Linked DNA regions of Alligator mississippiensis. The protein of the gene in region 4 interacts with the protein of the main gene of each other region in a pairwise test. Links are inferred from orthologs where the notes say so. Each region holds a gene or a part of one and is shown on either strand. Other genes may lie near its edges. The genes, in order: SKIL, USP2, TEX11 and NEFL.

Evidence for each region.
Region 1: the proteins of NEFL (region 4) and SKIL interact in binary tests that used the Homo sapiens proteins (3 or more experiments, as listed by UniProt). The link is inferred for Alligator mississippiensis from reciprocal best matches to the Homo sapiens genes NEFL and SKIL.
Region 2: the proteins of NEFL (region 4) and USP2 interact in binary tests that used the Homo sapiens proteins (3 or more experiments, as listed by UniProt). The two-hybrid records come from large-scale screens. The link is inferred for Alligator mississippiensis from reciprocal best matches to the Homo sapiens genes NEFL and USP2.
Region 3: the proteins of NEFL (region 4) and TEX11 interact in a two-hybrid assay, tested with the Homo sapiens proteins (2 studies listed by BioGRID and IntAct). The two-hybrid records come from large-scale screens. The link is inferred for Alligator mississippiensis from reciprocal best matches to the Homo sapiens genes NEFL and TEX11.

The regions. Positions count from the first base shown.
Region 1 is NC_081830.1:74,864,334-74,871,686, forward strand, and holds the start of SKIL (ski-like protein), read left to right. Parts: upstream 1-4,330; 5' UTR 4,331-4,478; intron 4,479-4,778; 5' UTR 4,779-5,062; coding exon 5,063-6,169; intron 6,170-7,353. UniProt on the Homo sapiens protein: May have regulatory role in cell division or differentiation in response to extracellular signals.
Region 2 is NC_081839.1:31,067,397-31,074,652, forward strand, and holds the start of USP2 (ubiquitin carboxyl-terminal hydrolase 2), read left to right. Parts: upstream 1-4,114; 5' UTR 4,115-4,198; intron 4,199-5,922; exon of another isoform or gene 5,923-6,007; intron 6,008-7,256. UniProt on the Homo sapiens protein: Hydrolase that deubiquitinates polyubiquitinated target proteins such as MDM2, MDM4 and CCND1. Isoform 1 and isoform 4 possess both ubiquitin-specific peptidase and isopeptidase activities.
Region 3 is NC_081831.1:83,090,483-83,098,330, reverse strand, and holds the start of TEX11 (testis-expressed protein 11), read left to right. Parts: upstream 1-4,822; 5' UTR 4,823-4,932; coding exon 4,933-4,966; intron 4,967-7,037; coding exon 7,038-7,159; intron 7,160-7,848. Other genes in the region: nuclear cap-binding protein subunit 2, read right to left, coding at 2,510-2,608, 3,365-3,503, 4,169-4,350, 4,463-4,549. UniProt on the Homo sapiens protein: Regulator of crossing-over during meiosis. Involved in initiation and/or maintenance of chromosome synapsis and formation of crossovers.
Region 4 is NC_081830.1:22,883,777-22,891,362, forward strand, and holds the start of NEFL (neurofilament light polypeptide), read right to left. Parts: upstream 3,009-7,586; 5' UTR 2,981-3,008; coding exon 1,931-2,980; intron 1-1,930. UniProt on the Homo sapiens protein: Neurofilaments usually contain three intermediate filament proteins: NEFL, NEFM, and NEFH which are involved in the maintenance of neuronal caliber.

The DNA.
Region 1 (7,353 bases), about 52 Mb from region 4:
CATTACAATAGCACCTACAGGGCCAAATCAGACCAGAAGCCATTGCATTAGCTGCTGTGCAAATAGCCTATACCAGTGATGCAACAATTTAAGTTTAAGATCAGATACAAAAACTGGATAGAATAAAACAAGACTGGGTGGGGGTGGAGGGTGTATGAGAGCAAAAGGGTGATAGCAGAAAGAACACATTTTTGTATAGGCAAGCGGTGTGTAGAATTTATAGATACCAAGAGGAGGTTTGTTTGTTTTTTTTGTTATTATTCTAAAAATAAATCTTATCCTGTGCAATAGTCCCAGCTCACCACCTGCTTAATTATCATCAGCTTGCAGTGCTCTAGGGCTAGGCAACATGATAGATTAAAACTTTAAGAAAGGATTTAAGAAGAATCAAGCAGTAGCTTTATAGGTTTATTCAAGGAGTGTTATGTCAATAAGCAATGCCTGAAGAAAGTTAAGACAGACCAATTAAAGTGTGCAGTCAACGTGTATAAGTTAAAAAACATTGAACTAATTTGTGGATAATCTTGTTCGAGTCTGCCCTGCACCTCCTATGGACAAACCAGGCACTTGTCCAGGGCAGCAGCATGGAAATGGCAGCATTTCTAGCACTGATTAGTGATGATCAGCTTCCAATTAGTTGGCATGGTTAATTATGGAAATATGGAGGCAAAAATCTATTTTGTCTGGGGACAGCTCTGCAGTCCAGAATAAACTGACCTTTATTTGCTGTAGACCCTTTGTCTCTGAATAAGAGTATACACAGAGAGGTTTAAAGTATCCAGATTTTTGTAGCCGCATTAGTCTTGAGGAAAAGATAATCAGGACTCATAGTAGAGATGATATCTTTTATTAGACCAACAAGATGTTTTGCAAAAAAAAATAAAAATCTTTAATTGCCTGCTTTTGGGTACAAACACCCTTCGTCAGGCATTGGAGAAAAGATTGTTAAAGTTCTCCTGGGTAGAAATGAAAGTTCATATTTCATAGGATTTCACAGAGAGGTCAATAGATGGAAAACTCCTCTGGGCAGTCAGTTCATAGAGAGGTTTAAAGCACTTTTAATTCATATGCACTTGATGTCTTATCTTTAGTTAATTTGCTTTTGACATCTGTCCACAGTCTTAAGATGGAATATTAACTAAACCATTTTAAGAAGGTAGACTTACTGCGGCAGACTAGGTGTCACCTGAATATGTAGTTGTTGTAGTTTAAACTACCTGCTTCTATAGTGCTATAATCTTGAATGAAACAAATTTAAAGTTGCAATAGCTTAGTTCTTTACCTGTTTCTCAGTCCACTCCTAGTGGACAGCCCATAACAGACAATATAGCCAAAAGTACAAAGAAAGGGGACAGGGCCAAAATCCTAGCACCATTGGATGAGTAAAGTGGGGGTGGGGGAAGAGTGACAATGCCTGAAATAAAATGAATTGGTACAGTGGGTATAAACTGTGAAGGGTCTTGATAGAGTGGGGGCAAGACATCTTCTGTCCTGCAGCTGAGAAAAACAAAGTATTGTACCACCCTAATTAAATGAGCTATAGTACATTGACTGAATAAAACAACTAACTAACCATATTTTGCTCCTTCTTCCCCTTCGTGATTAATTTTTGTTCACTTTTTGAACTTCCTTCCATTGGTAGGTACAGCCTGAAAACTGCAAGGTAAATTAGTGAAATGAGTTTTGGGGCATTATAACACCCTTCTGGGTACTGGTACCCCAACACCAGACTTTCCTCTACTCCCAGCCCCACTTCACCTCTGGTTTTTCTCCTGCCACACCTTTGATGCTACTTGGTTGTAGCTGAGAGAGGCAGTCCCTGGTATCAGGGGTAACTGCTAGTTGCCCCATTGAGCCTGTACTCCCCTTCAAGTGTTTCCCTTTTAAGGGCAGACAAGGTTCCCTTTTAAGGGAGCATTTCCAAGGCTTCTGAGGACTTGTCAGACCCTCTGCTGTCATAATCATGGTCCCCTTTTTCTCTGGCTACATGCCCAGCCTTGGTCTACCATTTAAGATCTCAACTGCCAGTTATCAGCCCTCCTAGGGAGCCCTACCTTGGCAGTTGAAAATCTCAGCACCAGCCTCCACTTGTTTAGCTCAGGGCCAGCTCTTAGGGCAAGTAGCAGGGGAATGCCACCCAGGCATCCCTGTTCATGGCCTCCTCCACTCCCTGTAGCCACAACTCAGTCCTGCAGTACAAACAACAAAAACATGAGACAGCTGCTTCATAACCCAAATAGTTTCCTTCTCAGGATAAATGTTGCCTGTAGGCCCTAACTCTTGCAAGAGACTCCTCCACTTCCCCTGGGTGGCCAGCCTCTAATAGCTGCCCACTCCAAAGAGCTTCTCCCTATTGCAGGCAGAAGCTTCCCTTATGTTGTCAGACTGGACTAATACTCCCCAGCCCAGTCTCTTTTCAGGTACTGGACAGGGCCTTCTGCACCAGGTACAGCTAATCCCTTCATGAGCCACCTGGCCTTATCAGTCCTGGGCCCAGTCCACCTGGGTTGTTGCTCCTTACTGTCCTTCTTGGCCCAGGGTCCCTCATTCTCTCAGGCCTTTCTAGTGACAGGAGCAGGAATACCCTGTTACAGGCACCCTCACAATTTCCCACCACATTGTCTGCTGGACCTTGAAGAGGCAGAGAATCGCAGGGGGTTTAGAAAGGATGTTCTCTGCCCTGTGCTGATTATGTTTGCTCCAGTTCTCCCTTCACCTTCACTCCAATTCTGCTCTTCTCCTTTCCCCTGCCCTTAGTTTCTACCCGACTAAGTAAAGCCTCCCTGTAAGTAAAGACATCCCAGAAATAAATGAAAGGATCCTGATTCTTGCTACCATCACATGGCTCATTTTTTCTCTCTCATACTCCTTCCCTGCCCCGTGCCTGTTTGGTATGTTTAGACCCAGGTTCTCAACCTTTGTAGACTCAAGATAAAGGCCAAAGTGGAGTATGTGGAACTACAGAAGGATCTGCCATGGCTGAGTGAATGAGCAACCAAATAGCAGGTGAAATTCAGTATAATTAAGTGTAAAATGATGTACCTGGGTAAAAATAACCCTAACTATACTTATACAGTGATGGGCTTGACATTAGCTTCTACCACACAGGAAAGAGATCTGGGAATCATTGTGGACAGGTTGCTAAAAACATCAGCTGAGCTCAGCAGCCCTCAAAAAGGCAAACAAAATGTTAGGGCTCATTAAGAAGGGAATCACAAACAAAACAAAACATATGAGCATGCCCATTTATAAATCTATGGTGCGTCCACACCTTGAATACTGTGCCCAGTTCTTAAAAAGGATATAGAAGGACTCGACAAGGTCCAAAGAAGGGCAACGAGGATGATTAGCAGCATGGAGGGGCTACCGTAGGAGGGAGACTAAAGAGACCAGGCCTTTTCACTTTAGAAACTACAGGCCGTGATCAGAATTTACGAAATACTAAACAGTGAAGTCAATTTACAGTCTCTCGCAGTAGGAGAAAGAGGGGACACACAATAAAATGAATCCCCAAGACGTTGAAAATGGCCGTTTTCAACCTTCTTTCATTTGTGGGCCCCTCAAAATATTTTGAGCAGCAGCATGGCCCCCCTGAATGGCAAGCGTGGGTATTTGCACACTTTTGATTGATCACCCTCGCCTTTCACAGCCCCCTTAGGCGTAGTCTGTGGTGACCCCCCCCCAAGGGCGATAGACACGGGTTTCAACCAAGCCAGGGACGTTTCTTTTCGTCAGAGCAGGCCCTGGTGGAGCCGGGCGTGGGGGCAGCCACGGATTCACCGGGGACCGGACACCGAGCGAGGGGCAGGGCTCCCTGCACCCGACCAGGGGAAGAGGGACCCGGGGGGGGCCCACACAACCGGCTCCCTTCTCTCTGCCGCAGGGCTTTAAACACGTGGGAGCCCGGGCACGGCAGAGCGGGGAAATGGCAACTGCACGGTCACTGCTCTGAGCTCCCCGGGCTCCTCCGGCCCCGGCCGAGCAGCTGGGCCGCGTGCAGGAGGCCGGAAGCCCCCGCGGCGCCGGGCCCGGGGTTTCCCTGGGGCAGCGGCCCCCGCGGAAGGGCTCCCGGCGCCCGGCTGAGTCACTGCCGGCTCCGCCCCGTCTGCGCCCGGCCGCCGCCACAGGGAATCCCCGCGCTGGCCCGACCGGGCCGGGTGAGGCGAGGTGAGGCGAGGCGGGGCCGAGCCGGGCCAGGCCAGGCCAGGCCACGCCGCGCGTGGGCGTGGGCACGTCCCGTCCTGTCCTGAGGGGGGCGGGGGCCCGTGGGGGGAGGGGCGCCGCAGACGGGGGGCGGGGCGGGAGCGCGCACCCGGCGGGTTCGTGGCCGCGCGCCGCCGCCGCTGTCTGCGTCTCCGCAGTGAGGTCACGGGGAGGCGGCGGCGCGCGCGGGCGAGCGAGAGCGACACTGCCGAGGGAGGGAGGGAGGCCCCCGCGCGGCTCCGGAGGCAGCGGAGCCGAGCCCGCACAACGGAGAGGTAGGGCCCGGGGGTCGTGGGCGCCCGCCCGCGTGGGGGAGGGGATGTGGTGGCGTGGGGGAGGGGCCGGGCGGCGGCGCGGGGGGAGGGGCGCGTTCTGCGGGTGGGGGCGGGGCGGGTGTCCCGGGGGGAGGGGAGGGGGTGTCCCGCGGCCTGTGGAGGTTCCGGCCCTCCCTCCCCCCCTCGGGGAGGATGGGGGCAAACGGGCCGCCAGGCTGAGGGGGCAGCAGGGCCGGGTCTTGGCAGCCTGCTGGGAGACCGACTTTTCCCTTTCTCCTTATTTTTCCCCCCGCCTCCCAGATGAGTTGGTGCCTGATGGAGAAGCCAGCGGTCTGCGGGCAGGAAACGTGCCCTGCTGTCTGCGCTGCCTAAGAGCCCAGCAGGGCTTTGTAACACCGTCCCTTCCCACTCGGCTGCCCTCCCGGAGGCCCCGGCATAGCGCTGTCCTGGCCTGGCCTGGCCTGGCGTGGCATTGATTGCGTGTCTGAGGGAGTTCAGATAAGCCACAACTGACATTTGTTTGACAGAGAAGCTAGAGAGATGCGCCCTCACGGTTTCTTTCTGTAAACGCGTGGCGGTCGGCGATGGAAGGCCCGCAGGCAAACTTCCCCCTGCGCCCTGGCTCCGACCAGAAAGTGAATAGGATGCGGGAGGATGGGAGCCCTCCGGTAAAGAAAGCAATGACAGAAATGCATGGAAATACTGAGTTCCCAACTGGGGTGAGTAAGATGCCCACCATCAAGAAGGAAAACTTGGATGAATATGATGAAACTCCCATGGAGGTGGATAGAGAAAATGTCAAGTCAGACAGCGCTGCTGTATCTGAGCGCCTGAGTTTAAACCCTGGTTTGAAACACACCTTGGCACAGTTCCACTTAAGTAGCCAGAGTTCGCTGGGTGGACCAGCCGCTTTTTCCGCTCGCTATTCTGAGGAAAGCATGTCTCCCACCGTTTTCTTGCCTCTTCCATCGCCGCAGATACTTCCTGGCCCCTTGCTCGTCCCTTCAGATAGTTCCACGGAGCTCACTCAGACTACGCTGGAGGGGGAATCTATTTCCTGTTTTAAAGTTGGTGGAGAAAAGAGACTCTGCCTACCTCAAGTCTTGAATTCTGTGCTCCGAGACTTTTCCCTCCAACAAATTAATGCAGTTTGTGATGAATTGTACATATACTGTTCAAGATGCACTTCTGATCAGCTTCATATCCTAAAGGTATTGGGGATCCTTCCATTTAATGCCCCATCCTGCGGGTTGATCACGCTGACTGATGCGCAAAGATTATGCAATGCTTTACTACGTCCTCGCACTTTTCCTCAAAATGGCAGTCTGCTTCCTGCTAAAAACACGTTGGCTCAACTTAAAGAAACTGGCAGTGCCTTTGAAGTAGAGCATGAATGCTTGGGCAAGTGCCAGGGTTTGTTTGCACCTCAGTTCTATCTTCAGCCAGATGCTGCCTGTATCCAGTGTTTGGAGTGTTATGGAATGTTTTCTCCACAGACATTTGTGATGCATTCACATAGATCTCCTGATAAAAGGACCTGCCACTGGGGTTTTGAATCAGCCAAATGGCATTACTATCTTCACATTAACCAAAAATATTTAGGAACATCAGAAGAGAGGGAGCTGAAGCATCTCTTGGAGGAAATGAAGGAGAAATTTAGCGTGAAAAATCAGAAAAGAACTCAGTCCAAAGTAAGTCCAGTTTAATCTGATAAAACTTTTGGATTACTTGCTGTTAACAGATGAATACTTTTGAAGCATGCTGTTCATTTTCCTAAATACGAGCCAGTGTCAGATCAAGTATAAGCTAGGTGTGTGAATGATCTGCAGCATACATAATACAGTCTCAACAATTTCAATGTAAAAGGCTTAGTATTAAGAATTCTTTTCTAATTGGAGCTTTTGTCATAAACTGGTCAAAAACTTTCAGAACGTAGTTCTGTTTCTTTGGATGTTTTTGATAGTCATGTTGGTCTGAGACTAAAAGAAATGCAAAAGCTTTAGAACTCCTGGTTCAGAAATGATACCTTTTATTAGACCAACTAGGATAATAAAAGGTATCATTTCTGAACCAAGAGTTCTAGGTTTTTGCATTTCATTCTGTTTCTTTTGCTTTTTTAAACTGGCAATATCTGGAAAATGTAGAGGTTTCATGGACAGTCTGTCCTCCTGTTTGACCTACACATTGTGTGATTGTTTTATACCAAGCATGTTGCAATAAGCAGGAAGCTGCCTGAAAAATCAAGTGCTAGCTTAAACTGACAGACACGGACTTAAATTCCTGTGCGTATATGTACACATGGTATACAGCCAGTTATCTTGCTAAGCACCCAATAGCGTGTCATGATTTTTAAGGTGATAGTGCATTGATGCTGGTGAGAGGCCAAAGGCTGCTTTTAGAACGTGGTAATATCTTTTTTTTATGTTAAACATGTAATGTATAAGATATTACTTGAATTGCTTTTAAGGCCTTTCTCATATTACTGTGCAATGCACCTTGACACACCAATGAGAGAGACTGCCTATTTCAGTAACACTGTAAGTCTACACAGTATTTCACAAGCGTGAAGTTAGTTCTACTACAGTGATATCATAATCTAAATAAGACAAATAAATATAAGATAAATGTTAACTGTTTATAAAAGAAGAATGAGAAATGCTTGAAAAAGAGGTTATGAGGAAGGATTTGGAAAATAGAGGGTAACTAATGTGTTACTGATTTGAGGCATTGCTGTGGTAGTTGTGTTTGTAGATTATTAATAATTTTTCTGAGAAGAGCTTAAACTTTGAGTTTTTGGAATGTTTCCATTCCTCTTGGGGTTCTTTTTGTTGTTTGGAAGAATTTTCCTGTTCACTTTTGCATACAGCTATTGCAT
Region 2 (7,256 bases), on a different chromosome or scaffold from region 4:
GCTGGCTGCTGTCTCCCTCAGGACAGAGGCCGGGGGGGTGGGACCCCTCGATGCCAGCGCTCCTCCCTCCGTGCTTCCAGCTGTTTTGCTCCAGCCCAGTCTTCCTCCAGGTCAGGGCTCCAGTCTTCCTCCCCCAGCAATTTCTGCTCCCTGGGGCTGGCAGCCCCTTTGCACCTCCCCTCTGCTTTGGGGCCCCCAGGCCAATGGGGGCCAGGGGAGGCCCCCGAGAAGATGCAAGAGAGGCTGCACCGGGGCAGCCTTGGCCCCCACCCTCTCCCCCTGCGCCAGCGAGGGGGGCGCAGCCCGGCCCCGATCCGTGATCCGTGCCCGCTGTCGTTGTGTCCCCGGCTTGCTGCAGCTCGACCCGGCGGGGCAGTGCCTGCTCTGCCACAGAATAAACCCACTGGATGCCCGAGCCTGCCCTGTCTTCCTTGCGGGTGCCCAGGGATGCCCGGCCTGGCCCAGCCCAGCCCAGGCCAGGGAGGGGGGACCGGGCTCCATTGTGACATCGCGGCCCGGGCAGCTCCGCCTAGACACCGGTGCTGGCTGCTGCGCCCGGAGCCAAGTGAGTGCATCGCAGCCGCCTCCTCCGGGCCTAGGGAGCGGGGCGATGCCCACCTGCCTGCTCCATGGCAGTGCCCCCCAGGCTGGGGGAACTGCGCCCCCCCTCCCCGGCTGGTGCCCACTGGGGTTTGCCCCCAGCTTTGTGCGGGCCAGGGAGTGCATGGGCCAAGCCAACCCATGCCAGGTAGAGGAGGGCACATGGCCCCTCACACAGCACGTGCACATGAGGTTGTGGCACATCACAGCGGCACATGTGCCACGCCGTGCTGCACGTGGAGGTTGTGACCTCAATGCCCAAGGGGCAGGGGTCATGCCAGGCTGCAGGCCCCTCCCTGCAGCAGGGCGGAGCGGGGAGCAGCTGGACCCCTGGCGTCACCCTCCTGGGGGTGGAGGCCAGGGCTGAGGCTGTCCCGGGCGCTTTCCCATTGCCGCCTGCCCCATTCCTGGCCCGTAACGCAGAAGGGAGGGAAATGCCGGGTTAATTGCATCCTGCCTAATTATCCCAGTGTGCGCAGACTGAGTCACTGCCCGCCAGCGCCCCACGTCAGCCCTGGGGACCAGCCCTCAGCGGGTGGCGTCCCGCCCGATCCATGTTGCTCTGGGTCTGTGCACGGGGCTCCTCCTACGGCCCCGGTATGCCCCAGCCCACAGAGCCCCAGGGGTGACCGGCCCGTTGCCACAGACCCACCAGGCAAAGCCGGCTGAGAAGGGCCTGCCCTGTCTCGCTTGTGAGGACCTGGTTGCTGCAGGGGACAGATGCCTAAGTGCCCTGTGACCTCTCCCCCCAACCTGTCTGTTTGCACCATCCCAGTCAGCCCTGCCCTGTGTCCCAGACAAATCCCTGCCTCTCCTTGTAGGGTCCCGTCCCATGCTCATCGCCCTGGTGCAGGAAGGTCCCAGGGGCACCGGGTCCCCGTGGCCTGGGGGATGGGGCAGGCCTTCCCCTGCTCTCAGCAGGTGCTGGATCAGGATCGGAGCAGCCTGCCATCCGGTGACTCAGACCCTGCATCTGTTGCCTGGCTGCTTCAGCGCCCAGAGGCCCTGCTGCCTGTCCCGGCTCCGTCCCATTGCCCTGTCCCCAGAACATCGCCCCAGCCCTCCTCGCTGCCTTACACCTCCCTCCAGGCCCTCCAAACCTTGGTCTCCCCTGCCTCCAGCCCCCGGTGCCTCTGGTTACCCGTGCCCCCCACCCTCTGTGGCAGTGCCCTCTTTCTGTGGGTGCAGGGCCCCGCTGGATTGGGCCCGGTGTGCACTGTGCTGCCCCTTTAAGCTCCCCGGGCTGGCATGCCAGAGGCGTGCTCCAGCGCCCAGTGAGGTCAGATAAGACACTATATTTATCTAGCCGGTAACCTGAGCTGAGAATTTCTTCAGCGGCTCACGCAGCGGCTCAGCCCTCGGCCCATTCCAGCCTGGTCCCCAGCAGAGCCGTCTGCGCAGACATCCCGTCCTGTCCCGCAAACAGGTTAGTAGCCATCGGGTTTCTGCTTGCGCGCCAGAGCCAGCACCTCACTGATCCCGACGTGACCCCGTCCCGGCTGCTCCGGTGTCGCCCCATGACAAACCGTGACCCTCCGGCCCTGCTCGTCCACACGCAGGTGCGTACGGGCCCGCTCGGGGCTTACGGGACTAATTCTGGGGCCCCGAGAGGCAGAGAAAGTTCAGGGAAGACTTAGCCAAGTTCACTGCTGCCTGGAAAGGAAGATGCTGAGCAGCCCGGGGAGGACATGGCAGCAGCTCCTGGCACCCATCCTTTGCTTGTTCTTTGTCGTTCGACCCAAAACCAAGCATCCTCCACTCGCCTACACAGCCCGCTGGGCACAAAACTGGCCTGCTTGTCGTCCAGTCCCACCAAGTCCCCCTTGGCCATTGGGTGTCAGTCCATGCCACGCAGTGGGTTTGACCGGGCTGTGGAGAGCTTGGGCAGGGGGCTGGCTGCGTCGGGCATTGAGAGCCAGCTTGGACTTTCAGCAGCGGAGGTTGGTGCCCTCTGATTGCTGCTAGGCAGCAGGTGACCTGAGTTGGTAGGTCTCGGCTTGGGACCCAGGGGACAGACCGGAAAGCCGCCCCTGGAAGTGCTGCTAAATAGAGCAGAGAAGGGCTTTGAAAGCTGGGGCCTTGGCCAGCTCTGTGATACGTGTGGGTGGGAGAAGGCCCATTGCCACCCAAGAGGGGAGCCATGGGGATTTGGGCACCTTGCACGCAGGGAGCAGAGCTGGGGCTCCAGGGCAGGAGCTCATCCTGTGTCTCCTGGCTCCAGCTCCAGAAGATAGTTGTGGATCTGGCCCCACAACACAGACCACGTGCAGTCTGTGCCCACCCCCCAGTCATGCCAGCAGGGCCAGCAGGTGATTTGCACTGAGCCCCGGAGGAGTTAAGGTGCCTGGCTGATCCGCTGATAGGCAGCGTCCCCTGGGCCATGGAGCTTCTCGTGCAAGGGAAACGTGCAGGCAGCTCCCAGCCCCCAGATAACCCCACGGGCTGCAAGGAATTCCTGGCATAACAGACCTCGCGGCCCGGCAGCAAACAGGCCCTTCCCCTCGCGACCCTCGGAGAGGGGCATTCCCTCTCCCCGAGCCTGGAGGCCTGGGTGGAGTGGGTCCATGAGGGGTTCAATTTGGTGTCCCACCCTGCTAAGAGCTTCGCCGGGCCCCCTCTCATCCCAGCCCCCAGCAGCCGTCCGCTGGTCGGAGGTGACCCTGCCCCGGGAGGCAGCGGATGCCCCGTGGTGCTGGGTACGGCTTGTTGAGATCTAGGGTAACCTCCAGGCTGGGACATTGTGTCTCTGAGGCTTTGACTCCGCTTTAGCACCTGGGTAAGCAAGAAATGCCTGTGCCGTGATGGCTCTAGCGCGCAAGCAAGCACTGGGGCTGGGTAAGCCAAGTCCATGGGGACAGTGTCGGTGCAGGGAGCAGAGCAGCATCCCCCGGCAAGGTTACCGGGGTGGGGACAGAGCTCTGGCACCGTGGCCCAGGCACTATTGCCAGCAGGTTTGGGAAGGCACAGGGTCCCCTCCGTCATGCCCAGCCAACCGGCTCAGTGACCGCCCTCGTGTGCAGCCCAGCACCTCCAGGCCAGCTCTGCAACCTCCTGGAGCACTTGGGGGTTGTCTGAGGGGACCAGGCCTCTCTCCTCACCCAGAGGTGGAGCCAAGCCCCTGCCTGTCTCACAGAAGGCATCTCTGGGCTGCCAGGCCTTGGCACACTTTCCTGCCTTGAAGCTTCAGCTCCAGACTACTCAAGAGGGAACGGGGCAGTCTAGTGGTGAGGGCTGAGAGCCAAGACTCCTGGGTCCCATTCCCAGGCTCGCCTCTCCCTCGCCACATGACTGTGGACCGGATGTGTCTGTGCCTCAGCTTCTCCATCTGCACAATGGGACTAATGACAGAGCGGCAGCCTCCCAGGGAGGGTGGAGGCCTGCCTGAGTCACTGGGGCCTGCTGCGGCCTTTGAAGTCCCAGGTGCTATAAAAGCACCGAGAATTATTCCAGAGAGAAGCTGGGCTGGTCGGGATCCTCCCACCTCGAGGTCTCAGGACAGGTGTCTGGTCTCTTGCAGTCCTGGGGCCCAGGATGGTGTGACACAGCCCGGGACGCTCCGCGGAGCAGGCAGCTGGCACAAAAGTGGCGATCTTAGATGGTAAGCGGTGAGGGGCCCTCCCGACACGGGGCAGAGGCACAGGAGTGCCTGGGGACAGGGCACTGGCACATGATCGATGTCCTCAGATGTAGCCTGACGCTGGGGCTTGGCCTCTGTGGTCTTGCAACATGTTCTGGCTGATACCTCCCCCGTCCCCCATAGCTTTGAGCTCATATTATGTTTCTTGGAAATGAATTTCCACAGCTGCTTGTTTCACCCCAGAGGTGGCTGCCTCGGTCCTGGCTGGGGGGCTGTCAGGAGAGGTGCTTTCTGCGTCAGCGGGGGGACACGGTCATCAGGGGGAGAGTCCAGCCCTGCGTGTGGCTCATGAGAGAAGGGGCCCTGTTGCAAGACGGGCACTGTGTGGGGGGAAGAGGGACTCGGAGAAGTGGGGCTATGGGGTGGGCACTGAACTGGGGCTGGTCTGTGCCAGGACTGGGCCCTGCAGCTGCCCTGGCACCAGGGAGCCTGCTCTGGGCTAGGCTCCGGGGCAGCCCAGAGGGTGTCTGTGCTGAGCTCACCTGCTGCTGAAAGGGGCCGGGAGCTGCGTGGCCTGTGCCCCGTGAGCAGTCCCCATACACCCAGTACCCGTTGGGTCGTGCCACCCTTCAACGCGGCTCCTACTTGCCTACAAACCAAGCCCCTGCCATGCCAAGGGCAGCGGGGCTGGGGCATCAGCTCCTGCTGATGGAGGGAGGGAGCAGCCTCGCCCCAGGTGGATTATTCACCCCAGCGGCCTCCTCCCCAAACAGGTCTGTGTGCTCGGGCTGGCTTTGCCGGCTCAGCGTTCCCGACCCACTCAGGGATGATTGTTTCCTCGAGAGGACGGGATCCCAGCCCGATGCTGGCGCAGCCCAGAGGCCCAGACAGAAAATCCCTGGGGCGTGGGCAGGGGCTGAGACACTGCTGTCCTGGGCCTGAGCAGCCGAGGCACGAGCGTGGTTAGCATAGCCTCCCCGGGACCCGTGACCTCCCTCCAGCGGCTTCCGATTTCACGTGGATCGCTTTCACCCGCCCGCCTGCCAGTGGAAAATCCAAAGCTCCTGCACCGCGATGGGGCCCGAGGGCCATGCACGGCCCCCATGACCCGAGCCCCTGCGCCTGGGGGGCCTCGGCCCCTGCTGGGGGGCATCATTAGGGCACAGACAGGGGCCTGGGCTGCTAGTGCTGCTAGTGCTGACAACTCTGGGTGGCTGAGCCGGACCCAGGTGGACCCGGCATCCTTGGACTGTGGGGCAGGACTCGGGCTGCCTGGGAGAGCAGGCGGAGGCCAAACCCGGTGCTCCCCGGCCGGCGTGGCTGCAGGGGGTTGGGGCTCAGGACCTCTGGAGCTCCCCCTGGCTCTGCATACTGCAGCCGAGGCCCCTGCACATCTCTGCCTGCTCCGTCAGGGCCTTGCTATGTGTCCCCAGCTGCTGACCTCACTGCCCTGGGGCTTGTGGCTGTGTCACCGGCACCGTGGCATGTGGGTCAGCAAGGCTCCGGGGATGGGTGGCGTAGCAGATGCTTGGAGATCCCCAGCAGTGAGGCACGGCGGGTGTGGGTCAGCCTGCCCTCGACCGTGGCCCCTGTGCCAGCGGCAGGCAGCGCGCCGCACAGCCGCTCCAGCCAGCGAGTGTGTGCCAGCCCCGCCCTGGCACCCGGCCAAGCGTGCCGAAATCCCGCCCAGCCATGCCGGGGAAGGGTTTTGAATCAGGGTCGTTGCCTTGGTGACCGGAGACTCTCGGAGCCATGCGAGCCGCTGTCCTGAAAGTGTGGGGAAGCGAGCGGCGGGCCCACAGGACTGTCCAGGGGCTTCCCCGGCACCAGGTAATGTCCCTAGGTCCCTTGGGGACCAGCCAGAGCCCAGGCCTGGGAGCCCTGACCCTGCCCCATGCCAGCGGCTGCCCCTCCGCATGGAGCTGCACCAGCAACAAACTTTCCTCCCAGTTGCAGCCCAGCGGGTGCCCAGGTGCGCCCCCCTGCATCTCACCTGGGGTCTGTTGGGAAGTGGGAGTGGGGGGGGGTGCTCTTGAGAGCAGTGCTTGTGACCCACCAGGCTCTGTTGCGGCGGGGGCAGGGGGTGGGGAGCTGGCCAAGGGGGTGCCCTGGGCACCCCCTCTGGCATGCAGTAGTGCTTCTGCCTTCAGGGCACTGCCCAGGGCTACGGACACCAGTAGGACTCCAAACTCCTCGGTGCTGTTGCTAGCTCTGCTACTGACTCATTGGCTGGCCTTGGGCATGGCACTTACCCCACCCTGGGTCCAAACTTGACTGACTGCCTGTAGTGGGCACTTCCAGCCATGGGTGTGATGCCCCCCAGGGGCATCTCCCCCCCCCCCACATCCATCCCATAGGTGCCCAGAGGTGAGGCTGGCACCAGGAGTCTTGGCCTGGCGTCTTTGCTCTCCTGTGCTGCCTCTGGTTGGCCCCCAGTCTAGCCCAGTAACACCCTTCCCCCCTCCCATCCCAGAGCTCTTGAATTGGGTCAGGTCTTCCCCCACCCCCAGCCCTTTCTTGCAGCAGCCTGGAGCAGAGCTGGCAGCTCCTGAATAGCCCCGGCCTCTGCTTCTGGAATACCAAGGTCCCGAGGCCGGCAGGGGAGGGGGCATTCCCATGCTCAGCCGCTCCAACAGGGCATCCCGTGGGCATCACAGTAGCATGCTCCAGCCGGAAGCGCGCTTGCGGGGCTGAATTATTGATGGGGCAGCAGCGTCCCTGGGCAGATCAGGTGTAGCGTGGCTGGGAGCAGGTGGCAGGGCCTCGCTGTGGCCCTGATCCTTAGTCTTCCCATGGTTTCCCATCACCCTTCCTTCTCTCTGCCCCCCTGCACTCCCAGGTCCAGTCCTTCGCTCTGTTGTCTTCCTCTGACCACAGTGGGGCACGAGGGGGTCCAGCTCCCGGTCTCTGCTGCACGTGCCGGTCAGGCTGTGGGGAGGGGAACTTCTGAGGTCATGCTCCACACTCTGGCACCTGGGCTGAGACTGTACAAACTCATTCTCCATGTGGCTGCATGATGGGCAGGGCTTTCGGGCCTTCCAAGCTCCCTGGACACCCCTCCAGTCCCTGGGCCCCGGCA
Region 3 (7,848 bases), on a different chromosome or scaffold from region 4:
ACACCCCCCGGCCTTGGCAGTCCCTGCCCTGTGGGGACAAAGGGCCTCCTATGCTCCAGCGCGTTGTATGCGGGCGAGCCGTGTCTGAATGGCAGCCCTGGAGACGGGCGTCTCTGGGCACAGAACATCCCCCGGCAGCGCCAGGCTCTGAGACAGCTCCGTCTGCGCTGGCTGGGGTGTCTTTTCCCTCATTAGTGTTTATTGTTTTATTCCTTCCTCTTTGGATCCTCCAGTGGTTGTGAGGCCCCTTTCTCTCATCCTGCTTTTCTCTAGCTTAGCATGACTACAGGCTAGCACTAGAAGTACCAGCACCAGCTACCAGGCAGACAACACAGGTGTGCCCGGCTCCGGGAGCTCTTCTGAGAGATGCAGGTCCTTCCCCCGGCACTGAGCTGGCCCCCGCCTCTGCTTGGAGAAGAGATCTCCCACAGCACAGTGGAGCAACGTGGGAAGAACAATGCGTGTTACGTAGTTCTGTCCCAGCTGATTCACTCCTCCTCCCAGACACTCCCTCAGCCCAGTCTATTTTTTGCCTTCACCCAGCTGCACCTTCCCAGGCACTTACTCCTCTGCAGTCTGCCCTGACCAGGCTGGACAGACCGGTCCCCTTCCCCACAAGACAACCACACACTTGTTCTTACTGCGCATTCCTGCCTGCCCTGCCCTGCAGCCAGCGTTTGGGCCCCGGACGGCCTGGTGCTGAGGGCAGCATCCTCGAGTCTGCATCTTTGCTCCCTGCCTCTTACCTGTTGCATCTGACCAGGGCACAAAGCCCAGGTCACGCTGGCAGGAAGAGCTGGATGGAGGCAGCAGCCTGAGCTTCTCCACAAGTGGACTGAGCCATCTTAAGAATTCAATGTGAAACCCCTTCGAGTCAGGGCTTTGTGGCGACTTGAGCTATAAGCATAGCCTTGTCCAAATGCCTGGTCTGTACCAGCTGCAGCCAGAAGCAGGCTTGGTTCCCATTGGAGCCCAGAGACCCCCTTGAGACAGAGAGCTGCTCCCAGGTAAGTGGGGGATTTCTTTAAACGAGTTCAGTTACATCCCACCCTTTCCCAAAGGCTCAGCACGGCCTACAGCAAACAAGCCACAGAGGATCCTCTGGCACTTGAGGGCTCTGCAGAGCTGTGGCTGCACTGCACAGAGCAGAAGTTGCTGGTGTTTGCATGATCCCAAGCCAGCTCTGAGCAAGGGCGTGATGTACGCAGCTGCGGGGTTCTGCTCTGGCTTGGTGCAACACAGGAGGGGCATATAGCACCCCAGACCCCAGGTACAGGTCCGCTCAGCTGTGCTGTCTTTGAGGGGGAAGCAGTTCTTACAGGAGTCTCCTACCATTAGCTAAGTTGAATTTGGGCAGCCTTGCAAAGGGGCTTGGGGATGAGTGCCGGGCTTACTTTTCTAAGTTCTTGGGCTGACCTTAAAGCACAGGCTGGGCCCTCATGTAGCTGTATGCACCACAGAGGACCCGACACTGCTTGGAGGCAGGGCAGGGCCATTAAGAATAGTGACCTCTGGCTAGTTCCCCAGGCCAAGGGGAAGGCAGATAATGGTGAATTACCCAGCAGTGACCCGTTATCAGTTGATAACTGGGAATGGGCAAGCAGTGGGAAGTAAAGGAACCATGGTGAATTAAGTCACAGTAGTAAGTTATCCACACTCACCTGGATGGGAGCACGGGAGCACTAGTTTGCTGATTTCCATCTTGTTTCAACCAGGAATAAACACGAGAAGAAAAGTGACACCCACACCAAGGGGAAGCTCAGACAAATGCAGGCATCCATCCCTTAGCATGCAGGATGTGCCCCCCAGGCCCGTCACAGGTAAACAGCACCAGAGCACAGACTGCAGAGACAGGATTATACGTTTATTTAAAAAACCCAAAAGACACTTAACAAAAACCACACAGTAACTGGGAGACTGTGCCCCACCTAGGCAGTGCCAAGGGCACGGCGAGGACAGGGACTCTGCAGGTCTGACTGAGCCCAGGGATAGAAGTGCAGGCACCACTTGCACTGGCCAGTACAGTCTGATTATGCTTCTCCAACCCAAGCCAGCAACAGTGCTTTAAAACAGCAGGAGACAATGTAAACGGTAGACTTGAAACTCCTGCCTGTGCCTGGGCAGGTGAGACAGCTTTGATGGCTGATGAGTTCTCAAAGCTTGAACTTGAGGGAAACAACAGTGGCTGGAAGAACAGCTTGGAGGCAGCCAGCTGTGCCAGAGAGAGCAAGAGGAGTGAGTTGCTGCCAGGGTCTGGGTGCCATGCTGCACTTGTCCTTAAAGAGAATCCTGCAGAGCTGGCCACGCTGTTCCCTTGCTGCCCTGCATTAGCAGGGAACAGCCTCTCTATCCCAAAGGGAAGGGGAATGAGCAAATGTAGACAGCCAGTCTAAGGAGGATCACTTCGTCCTGGAACCTGGACCTTGCTCCCCATCCCAGTCCAAAGGGCAAGGACAGGGCTATCTATGGAGGACCAGTGCCCTTCTCTGTGCTAGGACAAATGAGGCACTTAGTAGATCATAGTCTGCTGATTCGCCTTTTGCATCTGGATGATCTTGCCAAAGCCACCTCTCCCCACGTCATAATCCGTCCGGTACTCATCTCGCACCTGGGGGCAGAGCAAGAGGAGGCATTAACACCCTCCACCTACTTACATGTCACAACGCTTTTAGGAGCCAGCTTCCTCTCCACCTCACCCCAGCAGTTGGTGGGCTGAAAGCCAGGGTGCAAGTTCATGTTTTTCAACTCGCTTGATAACACCCCATCACAACAGGGACAGGACAAGTGTGGGGCTGTTTTGAATGTCAAAGCAATACAAAACAGTCCAAACACTGTTCAGTTTGGCTTTGCAGTCTGGCTTGACGGATTGTCAAGGTTGAACCCTCTGAAATCTGGGAATGAATCTCATCTTCCCACTGGCGCATCCCGTCTGACAAGACTGCCCTTGCAACCACACAACAAAAACACGGGGCTGGCAAGACCTTCAGGGGGTCACATCTAGGGCAAGCCCCTTGCTTGAGGTAGAGTCATCTGTGTCAACCATCCCAGACTAGCACTTGTCTTTCCCGAGCACCGTTTCTTCCTCCCTGCTTGTTTCCTCCATCAATCTGACAGCATCTCATTGACAGCAGAGCAACATTCACTTTGCGCCCTCAGGAGCCGGGAACCCAGCTCTTCAGCAGCAGCAACTGTCAATCACTTACTCCAGTCCAGCATCAGGTACTAAACCAGTTTGACCGGCTTTAGTTCAGTTATTGGGTCTACGCTGCATTACTCTTGCTTTGTGTTGGCTCAGTCACGGTGAGCAGCACCCAGCTGAGCCCCGGGGAGCCATGTTCTAGACTGACGTTGGTCTGTTGCTTACCTGTCCTCCCGTCTTTCCTCTCCCGTACTGCCGGCCCTCCTTAAACCCTGCGTCCCAGTCTGTCCGGATAATGCGGTCATCCAGACGGGTGCCATTAATAAATCTCATTGCATGTTCAGCTTCCACTCTTGTGTAATATCTGGAATAACTTATAAGGAAAATACAAGGTGCTGTTCTGCTGGGTAGGGAGGTAGAAAGAGAGAGTAATTTTATATGGCATGGAGGAACCCTGACTTTCAACTCAAGACCCAAACGCTAACTGGCTCCAGTCCCCTCCCAGCGCAGCGCGAGGCCGCGCTCGTGCGTCTCAGCTCTGGCACAGCGAAAGCAACAGCGAGGGGTCCCTCGCTTCAGGGAGAGGCCGGGCGCTGCCCCCAGGGCGCTACACGTGCCCCTTTCCGGGACAGCGCGTGCTGAATTTGTACGCAGGACTTCAAGCTGCATCAGCCCCGCTTCGAGCCTCGTTTGTAGGAGACGCCTCGTTTAGCTGCCCGTGCGCGGCCGCTGAAGATGCTACTGCGCGGGTCGGTCGGTGATCGCACGCACTGCGATGCGCGCCGTGCATGGGCACCGCCACGACAGCCGCCCACCGGGCCGGCACAGCGCGGGGGACACCCCCGCCCGGAGCAACGCACCGACCGCACGGTCCCTCCGCCGGCCAGACACCACGCGCGCCAGCACGAGCAGCGGTCCCACCCGGCCTGGCCCCGTCCCACACGCGGAAAGGGCTGAGACCCGGCGAGGGGCAGCAAAGAAGCCCCTGGAAGAGGGCACCGCGCCGCGCAGGCAGCGGCTGCAGGATACTCCACGAAGCAGAAGCCGCACGGCGTCTTCTTGATCTTGTCCAGACCCATGACGATGCGCTTGACGTCGCCGCACTTGGAGAAGAGCTCCTGGATCTGCTCCTCCGTGGTGTAGAAGGACAGGTTCCCCACGTACAGCGTCGACGACGCCTTCAGCGACTTCTCCTGCAGGTACCGGCTCCCCTGGGGGCACAGCGGGCGTCAGCGCGGGGGGGCCGGCTACCCCCATCCCCTCCCCCACAGCCCGCCGCACCCCAACCCCCTCCCCAGCCCTGCCCCACGTCCCCCGGCGCACCCGGAAGTGCTGGTCGCGGTACTGGCTGATGTCGCAGTAGGAGTCGCTGCTGAGGCCGCCCAGCGAGGTGCCCAGCAGCCCCGACATGGCGCCGCAGCACGCGCCGGCTCCTCCCGCCCTTCTAGCCCCGGCGCAGCGCCGCCGGAACCGCCCCTCCCCCGCTCGCCCGCGCGCCCACCCCATTGGGCCCAGCGCCCGCCACTCCGCAAGGAGAGGCGGGGCGGCGCCCCCATTGGAGGAGGGCCCTGCCCGCCAGCCAATCGCCGCGTGGGGCTGGCCTCCGCCGCGCCGGAAGTGCGCGTGCGCGGCCGCGGGGGGCGCTGGGAGCTGTAGTTTCGCGCCAGGCGCGAAAGCCAGGCGCGTGTCCCGGCATACCTCGCGCGCCCAGGCGCTGAGGTGCGAGGAGCGGGGTGTGAGGCGCAGGCGCTGCCTCGTGCTTGGGGCAGGCCCGAGCAGCCTGGCGCTGCGGCATGGCGGGCGCCCCCAGCCTCCCCGCCCTGCAAGGTAGCGCCTCCCTCCCCTGCCCGCCGAGGGTTTGCAGCCTGGTGTGGCGGGGTGAGGGGCCCTGCTTGCTGGGGGCGGCCTGGTTCACTGCAGGCCCTGCGCACCCCGCTTCTCCACCTCACCCCCCTTCGCCAGCCTCCGTCTCCCAGTGCAATGCAGTGCAGCGCCGCCCGGCTTCCCGCCTCCGAGAAGAGCAAGAGCTCCCCCGAGAAACCCTCCCGCGCCGTCTCTGCTCCCACGGCGCTCCGGTGCCACCGCAGCGCCGTGCTGCAGGACAGCCTCGAGTTCGAGACGAGCGCCCGGGAGAGTCGCCCGGGAGACGAGCAATGGGGCGCTCGTTACAGCCGATACGAAAAGCTGTGTCTGGTGTAGACGGGAGGCCGGCAGGGTTTTCCAGTGTCACAGTGGCGTGCGTCTGCCTCCCTGGCGTCGGGGCTGCGTGCTGCGCCGGGCGCGGTGGCGTCCCGAGAGCAGGCTCTGACAGAGCCGGCAGCCTCCTGGGCAGACACGCAGCACGTCCGGGGGTGCAGCGGCGACTGCCGGGCAGTCTGGCTGTTCAGTGGTGCCGAGCTGCTTTGCCTTGGAGCCGGGCCGCCAGGAACAGGCTGAGTCGTCAGGGGAGATGTGCCGTGAAGCGGGACGCCTCCGGCTGCCGGGGCCCCGCCCCGGGTGAAATACTTCTGGCCCTAAACCAAAAGCTTAGCGACCAGTGCGTAACGTTCGACGTGAAGGCCGTGTCTCGCCCTGTACCCGGTTGAGCTGAGCGCACGGCTGCAGAGGAAATAGCAACCTGTATTTGTTTTAGTTTTGGAGTCTAAAATAGGTACTTGATAACTTGTTCCCGATCAAGGAAAAGGGCACGCTCTGTTACGTAACTTACAATTAAAAGTAATGCGTGATTAGTTCTGGCGTGCTAGGATTACAGGAAAGGAAATGTGGTCGACAGATTCATTTTTGTTAGGACAATATGTAATAAGGTAACTTGTGAAACTCGCAGTGGCTGCAGAGCCTTGTGTGTTCCTGAGTTCATCAGTTAAGAGACTTGGACAAAACTTGTTTTGCCTTTTCACGTTATTGTTTTTGATGTCTTTGGAAGTTAAAACTATTCTCTCTTGCCAGAGATTACAGGGAGCTTTCCGTCGACTTGAGTAAAACAAACATTATAGTGACTGGGGCAGAGGTGCGGGAGGGATTCGTTTTGCTCCTGGACCAGAGTCAGGGTTTTTGTTAGCAAGGTACTGGGCTCTCATGTCTGTACCGTGTAGTGCTGCTACTGGCTGCCCAACTGGGGGTAGATATTTAAGCTAGCACGTGAAAAACTATGGAATTGGAGACAAGGGAGGGCAAAAAGGTTTTATATGGTTTTATTTGGTCCCCTAAACTGCTCTGAGGAGTAGTTTCCAGCTGCCGTTGTAAGGGATTTACCCACTAAAGCAACCTCATTCCTTCCACATTCTGAGAGTGGTTAAGAGAGCACCTGATCAAGTCCGACTTTTTCCTTTTAAGCCAAGGGCAGGGATTTAAAGATTTAGCAGTTTTCTCTCTTTTTATAAAGATGCATGGGGGTTTTAGGATTCTAGAATCGGTGGTGGCAGGTTGTTCTATGATCCTCAAAGGAAGCGCTGGCGTTGGCTTACCAGTATCAAAGATCCTGAATACAGGTTGTGTACATTATACTTTCAGAGGGCCCAAGAATAAAAGTTGTTTAGGAGGGAACAAAAGACTTGGGGGAAGCAGACATTTTATTCACAGATAAGATGTGCCACATTCTGCACTCTTTACTTATGTTTAGTTCCTTTGACAAATGTAGATTTCACTGCCGCAGTTTAGCAGAATATAGCCTTATGCCTTAACTAAAATAAATTTTCTTTAGAATAGAGTTGTTTCTCAGGAGTTACTTTGTTCAGCTTCTCTTGGTCTCCTTGTTTGTGCTTTTTTATTAGCCAGGAAAATATGAAGAAAATGTAAACCAATGGGTTTTGCTTGTACAGACTTGTTCAGAGATGATGTGCTACTCATAACATTTGTATGGTGCTCACTCCGTTTCTGCCTCATGCACCTTATTTTTCAGAGCTTGTTCAAGAGCTGCTGAAGAGAGACGCCCCATCCAACGTTCCTGAGATCATTGACAAACTATTCTCTGAAATAGAAAATGTGGATAAGAAGGCAGAGGACGAGATTCAGGAGGCTGAGGTAGAAGGCCAGGGACTGTTGGATCCCAAAGCTGGATATTTAAAAACAGTCTGTTCTTACAGCCAAGGTGGAGGCAAGCAGTATCTACTGCAGTTTGAATGCTCATTGGCTGGTGCAGATAATGAGTTGTCATAGTACTGAGAATCTATAAAAGCACTTACATTTTTGCATGTTTTACTTATGTTTTGTATAACTATAGAGCATACACTATAACATTTCTACTTCTCCATTAGCACATTTGAAGAAAGTAGAGGTGTTTCTAAAAAAAAAAAAATGTAAATATTAGAATAGTAAACATTAGCAACTGGCAAGTGGGGGATTCCACCTGTCCTTCAAAATGATATGTATTAATGTTTTTGAATTCTGAGGCAAAATATCCTTATTTAAATGTCAACACTACTGACATGAATGAGATGCTGTGACTTTTTACTTTTGAATCTAACAATGCAAAAAGACTAAAAAAAGCACAATAGTAAAATAAATGTAGAAAAGAATAATGAAGATGTTAAAATTGTAAATACAAACACTCCAAAATCGCAATATAAAAACACTGAAGTTTTCTTAGTAAAAATCTTTCCCGTGCTTCACATTGATTAGTGATTACTAGTCATAATTTTAAATGTCCACCTAAATGATAAACTGTAGATGCATTGTAAATGAGTTAATACTTTTGGAGTCTTGGCTTTTTG
Region 4 (7,586 bases):
TCAGTTGTTGATATTGTAGTTCGTGGGCTGGGGGGGTGGGGGAAGGAAAAATTAACTTCATGATATTTCACTTTACTGATATTTTACCACATTCTACACTGCTTACCGAGGCAAACTCTTGATGAACTTCACCCAGGAGTTTTACTTAAGTGCCACAAGAACTGGCACATAGACAGAAGAGATCTGTGGAGATTTATGTATTCTTTTAACAGACGCTCCCTTAATTTGTAATCCTTTATTCTCTTTACCCAGTTTGTGTCTTCAGGCATTATTTTATTAAATCCAATCCTTTTAAGTAATTAATATAACCTAAGAAACATTAGATCTAACATCACCTTTTCAGCTTTTATTAGTTATAATATGATATTAATTAATAATAAAACCCAATGCATTTTTTTCATATTAATATACCTATAGCCTCCTGTTCATCAAGACAACTAGAGAACATGTCTTAACAGATGCAATAATATTTAACTCTATGTAATTAGTCCTGTATTAAACATGCTTTTTCCCTCAAGGGCAGCTCATTTAATTTTATTCAGGTTCTTAGGACTGCTAAAAATCATTGTCATTAATGGTGCCATCTTAATTGCTAAGCTTTCCAGCAGGTGAAGCTGCATGGGGCAGGCTCCCTAATGCAATGACTCCCTAATGACTCCCTTCAGTATGGCTGCACACACAAGCTGCAGGGACACTTTGCCTTTGCAGAGCAGGACTGTCTGCACTGCCATTTGGGTGCAGGCTTTCAACACCGCCAGGCTTTCAACACTTCTTTTTCTTTTATATTCAGGTCCCCACTTTTCCTTTCAATTTCCCCATTCACATTTTAAACCTGTTGCTTTTGAAGTGGAGGACACAGAGGTCATTAGCCACTCCCTGCCTTTGTGCAGAGGCTTCACGGACAGCTCTGCCTGGGGCAAGAGGGTGGTGGGGTGGCTGTCTAAAAAGCCCCTGATCTCAGAACCTGGGATCTCTTGAGCATCTACTGACAATATTTCACAGAAGTTGGCTGCAGTGGTTCCCCTGCTTCTCCTGTGGCAGGTTAGGATGCTAGGTCTATGTTGTGTCAGGGCTGACTGTTATTTGGCTAAGAGGTTAGATTGTGTATAGGATGAGCTGGACAGATATGATCCTGGCTCAGGCAGGGGGTTGGACAAAATGAACTCTGAACAGCCCTTGCAGCCCCACATCTCTCTGACTGCAGACTCAGCTACAGGTGCAAGATAACAACCAGCTCTAAAATTAGTACACATTTTCCAGGTCTAACCTCAGAGCTGGTGGGAGCTTTTTATGGTGCGAGATGAGTACTTTGCCTGGTGTAGCTGGTCTCAAGGTAACCATCTGGTCTTAACACAATACCTGTAATGTAGAGGGGGCCTAGGAAGATACGGGGAGAGGTTTCCTGCCAGGGCCAGCTCAGAAGGCTGGATGTAACTGCTCCTGTCCAGACTTGAGAGAAAAGTGCCTTGTTACCCTTCCACTTGTGCTATTCCCCACCTCTGAAGGGAAAGAGAGAGCAGCCTGCCCATGCAACCTGGCCAGCCTGACACAGAGCAGCGCGCACGTGTGCAGCTGGAGATCTCAGTGGCTGGCTCAGGCAGGACTGCGGACTGAGGGAGCTGGACTGAGCTTGAGGGGCAGCTGCTTGAGCGCGCCAATCCTGCTCACGCAAGCACAGCCGCAGCCAAGGGGAACCCCCGTGGTGGGTGCAAACGGGGTGGCAGATGGGGGCAGATGGGGTCGCAGGGGCCATGCTGAGGAAAAGTTTGGGGAGTACTGAGGAGGGCAAACTGGGTGACTGCCAGAGGGCCCCAATTTTTTTTTTGGGGGGGGGGGTGAAGTTTTTGCAAGGAAGTGGCTCTAAGGAGTCCCCAACAACCCTCCGGGGGCGGCGGGGCGGCTGGGGAGAGGGAAGGCGCCCCTCACGCACCTGCAGGGCGGAGATGTCGGCGTTCTGCTTGTCCTCCAGCTCCTGCAGCTGCTTCTCCAGCGCCTCGTTCATGCCGCGCGTGGCCTCGATCTCCAGCGTCTTGGCCTTGAGCAGGCGGCGGCTCTCGGACACCTCGTCCTTGGCGGCGCGCACGGCGTCCGTGTTCTTGGCGGCGCTCTCGCTGAGCACGGTGAAGCGGCTGCGGAACCACTCCTCCGCGTTCTGCATGTTGCGGGCCGCCAGCTTCTCGTACTGCGCGCGGATGTCGCGCAGCGCCGCCGACAGGTCGGGCTTGGCCGCCACGTCCATCTCCACCGAGAGGTGCGCGTACTGGATCTGCGCCTGCAGCTCGGCCAGCTCCTCCTCGTGCACCTTCTTGAGGAAGGCCAGCTCGTCCAGCAGGCTGTCGATGCGCTTCTCCAGCTCGGCCCGCGCCAGCGCCGCCTCGTCCGCGCTCTTGCGCACCTCCAGCAGCCGGCCCTCCGCGTCCTCGCGGCTCAGCACCTCCTCCTCGTAGCGCGCCTGCAGCCCGCGCAGCGTGTCCTCCAGCCCGTCGCGCTCGCCCTGCAGCGCCTGCTTCTCGCTCGTCGCCTCCTCGGCGGCCAGGCGCAGGTCGCGGATCTCCTGCTCGTACAGCGCGCGGAAGCGCGAGGGCTCGGCATGCTTCTGCCGCAGCACCAGCAGCTCCGCCTCCAGCACCTTGTTCTGCTGCTCCAGCTCGTGCACCCGCTCGATGAAGCTAGCGAAGCGGTCGTTGAGGTCCTGCAGCTGCGCCTTCTCCTGGCTGCGGATGGACTTGAGGTCGTTGCTGATGGCCGCCACCTGGCTCAGGTCCAGGCTCTCCACCGCCGAGGCGGACGAGGCGGCGTAGCTGCGCCGCACGGACACGGACACGGAGGACGCGGGCGCCGAGAGGCTGGAGTAGCTGGAGCGCACCGCGCCATAGCCGCCGCCGCCCGTGCTGCGCCCGCCGGACAGGTGCAGGCGCGGGCTCTCGGCGTAGCGCCGCTTGTAGGACGGGAAGAAGGTCTCGTAGCCGAAGGAGCTCATGCTGGAGGAGGCGCGCGGCAGCTCTGCGGCGAGCCTCGGCCCGCCCGCCCCTATTTATCCCCCGCCGCGCCGCCTTCCACGCAGCCGCCGACACCTGCCAGCAGCCGGGGGGGCGAGCGAGCGAGGGCGCCGCCTGCTCCCGGAGCCCCTGCGCCTCTCCGCCTCCTCCCCTGCCTGCTCCCGGAGCCCCTGCGCCTCCCCGCAACCTCCCCGCCTCCTCCCCTGCCTGCTCCCGGAGCCCCTGCGCCTCCCCGCCTCCTCCCGGATCCCCAGTGCCTCCCCGCCTCCTCCCGGATCCCCAGCAGCTCCCCACCTCCTCCCGGAGCCCCAGCGCCTCCCCGCCTGCCCCTGTGCGCCCCCCACTCGCAGCCAAGCCCGCCTGTCTGAGCCCCGGCGCTTCCAGAGGAGCCTGGGGGAGGCAGGGCCCCGTCCCCTGCAGGCTTCAGGCGCCCTCTTGAAAGCCCCTGACTGGGTGCGACTGCCAGGCTGATTGCTCACCTTGCATTCCTCACTTCACTAAGCACACTACACTTCAACTCTGGCTTGACATGCCAGGTTTTTGCCCCTGTAGTCATCGGCAGGCATCGGTCTCAGGAGGCCATGGGGAGTGCGCCTTGGGTGCATTGAGGGGTGCTGCAGAGTGACTGAGTTGTCCGACGTGCGACCCTCTGGCAAATTGCACAGTACAAGTTGCACTGGCATGCTGCTTACCATTTTGTCTTCCCTGCCTTGCATGCCTCTCCTCTAGCTTGTCACAGACCCTCTCCATCTCAAAGCAACGTAGGCCCCGCTTCATAGATTCAGAGATTGTATGGCCAGAAGAGACCTTGTAAGATCATCGGGTCCAGCCCCCTGCACCTAGCAGGAAAGATAACTGGGGGTCAGGTGACCCCAGCAAGGTGACTGTCCAGTCTCCTCTTGAAGATTTCCAGGGTAGGTGATTGCACCACCTCTGGAGGGAGCTTATTCCACAGTCTGGACACCCTAACTGTGAAGAAGTTTTTTCCTAATGTTGAGCCTGAATCGATCTTCTAGGAGTTTGTGACCATTACTCCTAGTTTTCCCTCAGGTGCCCTGGTGAACAGTTGCTTACCGAGCCCTTGATGTACCCACAGCAGCTTTCCACTCACACAGGTACAAAGCAATTGATTCCCATCATTGGCCATCGATGCACAGCTTGCAAAGGTTTTTCTTGCAGGCAAAAAAAAGGGGTTGTTAAAACCTTTTCTGAGCCAGCCACTTACAGGGATTCAAAATATACACATGGGTTGGGTGGGTGTTGCTTGTCACAGGCGAACACACAAACACACATCTTCCAATCTATCTCTATCCCTATGATGTTATACAGGGCAACATTCACTAGGAGTCAACCTGTTTGAGACTCAGATCAGTGGTAAATGAATCTGGCAATTCAGACTTGTACCATCAAGCTGCAAGGAGCACAGCAAAGAGCAGCGGGAGGAAAAGGGGAAAGGACCATGGACAGTTCCTTTGCAATGACACACACCGCTTCCCAAATGTTTGGAAGATTTGCTATTGGGCAAGTGCAGCCAAGCAGTAGTTATGTTCTAGTCACTTTTTACTAAGCAACTGAGTTTCATATGTATGATATCTGATTGGGTCAGAAGATGTTACTTACTACCAAAAGAAGCTGTTCAGGAGAGTTTAGTCTGAGTAAGGACTACAAAAAAAGACTAGATTTTGGGGCACATTTATTAATGGCTGAAATTGCAAATGCTCAAATGCTTCACAAAGAAAGAGAAAAGAACTGTCCATGTTGGTCTAACACTTACAACATCTCTCTCTCTCTCTCTCTCTCTCTCTCTCTCTCTGTCTATCTAGTGCCAGTCACAGTAGTACTTAAGTAGTGGCTACACAAACGACTGACACAAAATTCTTGCTTCATGTAGGTTTTGTTCCAATAAGAATGACATGCAACTGTTTTTATTAGATCTCCAGATGCTTAGTGTGGTCACACAAAAAGGAAATTGCCTAATTCACACTGTTGCTTGCATAGGATTCAAGGTATTTGAACATGAAAGGGAAGGGAATCACACACACACACACACACACACACACACACACATATATATATATATATATATATATATATATATATATATATATATATATATAATTGGGGTTTTTTTTTACTTTAATCCATTTTTGGTGCAGTGCATTCCTATGCAGAGGGTTAGTATCTCCTTCAAAAGTGCTGAAGTGCTAATTAACTGAAGTGATCTCACTGAATTCAGTAAAAGTAATCTGAATTTACATTCAGTATAAACATGGAGACATTTTTTAAAATTTAAAATTCACATCTTAAAAATAAATATCCACTCCATTCAGTCATCAAACCCAATCTGGGGATGGGCAATAGCTACAAATTATTCATATGCTGTATAATGAAATTCCACTGTCGGCCATGATGCAAGGTCAGTGAAAAGTCTGCGACTGCAGCTACTTTGCATACAGTGGGCTGTCAGCATTTTTTTTACTATTGTGGTGAAATATGTTACTGATACCAGAGAAACAGAATGAAAATGGCTCCTGTGCAGTGAACAAAAGACAAGTTGCTCTTCTGGTGTCAGTCTGCATAGCTCCATTGGCTTTAGGGGAGCTATACCAGCTCACACAAGCTGAGAATGACATTTCATGAACCCTCAACATTTTAGTTTTAATTAAGAGTGTTTTGTCCTTTCTACCAGGAAAGGACTGAAAACTTCAGAATTAACTCATGCAATAGGCATGCAGTGTGAATAACAATATAATCTAGGTTGCAGGTTGCTTGCTAATTCTGAAATATATGCAGTGGAGACGGATGCACTTCATCAAATATTGATGTGATTCCTATGTATGTGGCTTTTGTAGTCTGCAAAGCACTTTGGGAGAAGAGCGGCTATATAGGCATGTTTTAAATTCCATTAAAGCTAACTGAAAGGTTCCTGCTGACTGCAGTAGCCTGTCAATCAGGCCCTTAAAATACAAGTTATTTCAGACCAGACCCTCAACTAATATAAATTTGCAGAGATCCATTGCTTTTCCTGGCTCTGCACTCATTGACACACAATCCAACTCAGATCCTGGAGTTTATGATTAACCATCATTTTTATTATTCTATGAATTATTTTAAAAATGACCTGTTTCAAACTAAGAAATAATAGGTGCTGTAACAGTAACAATCTCTAGCTTCTGTGCATGGTGTTACAAATCTGGAACTCTATACATTCTTTCTGATATTTTCATGGAAATGGTCAAAGGAGTGGAAATTCCTTTTCCACATAAAACTGGTGTCAGGGAGACAGATGACAGTGTAACATGTGCTGAAGCTTTTGGGGGCAGACAGTAATGTTGGACTTCTTTGCAGGTCAGTGGCGAGAATGGGGAATTGTTAGCTGGGAAGAAAATAGGGCAAATAAAAGCTATTATTCAAGGCAGGTGCCCTGAAAAGCCATAACTATTTCCCTTAATAAGACAGTACTCATCTAGATTTTTGCACCTAACTTTTACTTTATACTAGTTTTCTTTTTTCCCTATGATAGGGAATACATATATAAATGTGCATGGGCATTGGTGTTTTGCTGTAGACCCAAAATATTGGTGTTTTGTTGGTAGTAAACAGAGGAAGAAAGAAAAATTGGTTTCCAATTATTATGCAATTGCTCATTCCACCTCTCTTGAAAGGCTGTGTGCATTTTCCAGATGCTCTTGAAAGAAATAAGAATACAGTCAATAAAGATGTGATGTGTCACCTAGCAGTTTAGTATTAGTTCCATTTCTATCTGCTGAAGCAAAAAGCTGAGGCTGATCTCTTGATATTGTAAATAACCATGGGTTTCTCAGATCCATCCAACACAGAGAAAGAATCCAGAGAAAGAATTGAAGGGCCTGATTCATCCCTATGCCCCTGGAGCTGACATCCCCACCCCTCCCCATTATTCAGGCAATTACCCATTTGAACTAGAGGGGCCATCTCTATGTCTGAGAGGGTACATTAACCTCCCTGTCTCACTCAGTTTGTCACCTCACTGATGAATTGCTTGCAAGAAAACTGAATAGAGTGTACTGTGGTAAATTTGTGAATCTGGTGAACAGATGATCAGATGTTAACATCTTTCAGACACTATTGGTCATGTCTGGATTCAAAATCGCAACATAACCCCCAGCTGTGCCAGACCCTGGCACTTACATCTTTGAAGTCAGTGGGCCTCAGTCAAGTTCCAAGTCGTGCTTGCAAGGATGTAGATGTAGCACTGACACTTTACAAGAGAAGGATCTGATATGCCTACTTCGATTCGCCCAGCCCTCCACTGCACTTTTACATTTTTCCTGCATTTTCTGTAACCCGAGGATGATTTTGTCATTATTAAAATGATTATTCTCTACTGACTCTGTAACCTCCTCTTTCTGTGACCTTTCACTTGCTTTTCAATTGATATTCACTTCTATTTCTTGCAGAAGAAAGGATGGGCAGATCAATTTTGAAGGAGTAAGGGCAGTTTTATCTTTTCAAGAGAGAGCTGGAACAGGTTCACTGCAGCAGTCATATTCTGTGCCAACTGTTCATTGTTGTGGGAGTGCAGCAAAATGTGGCTGCTGCTAAGCT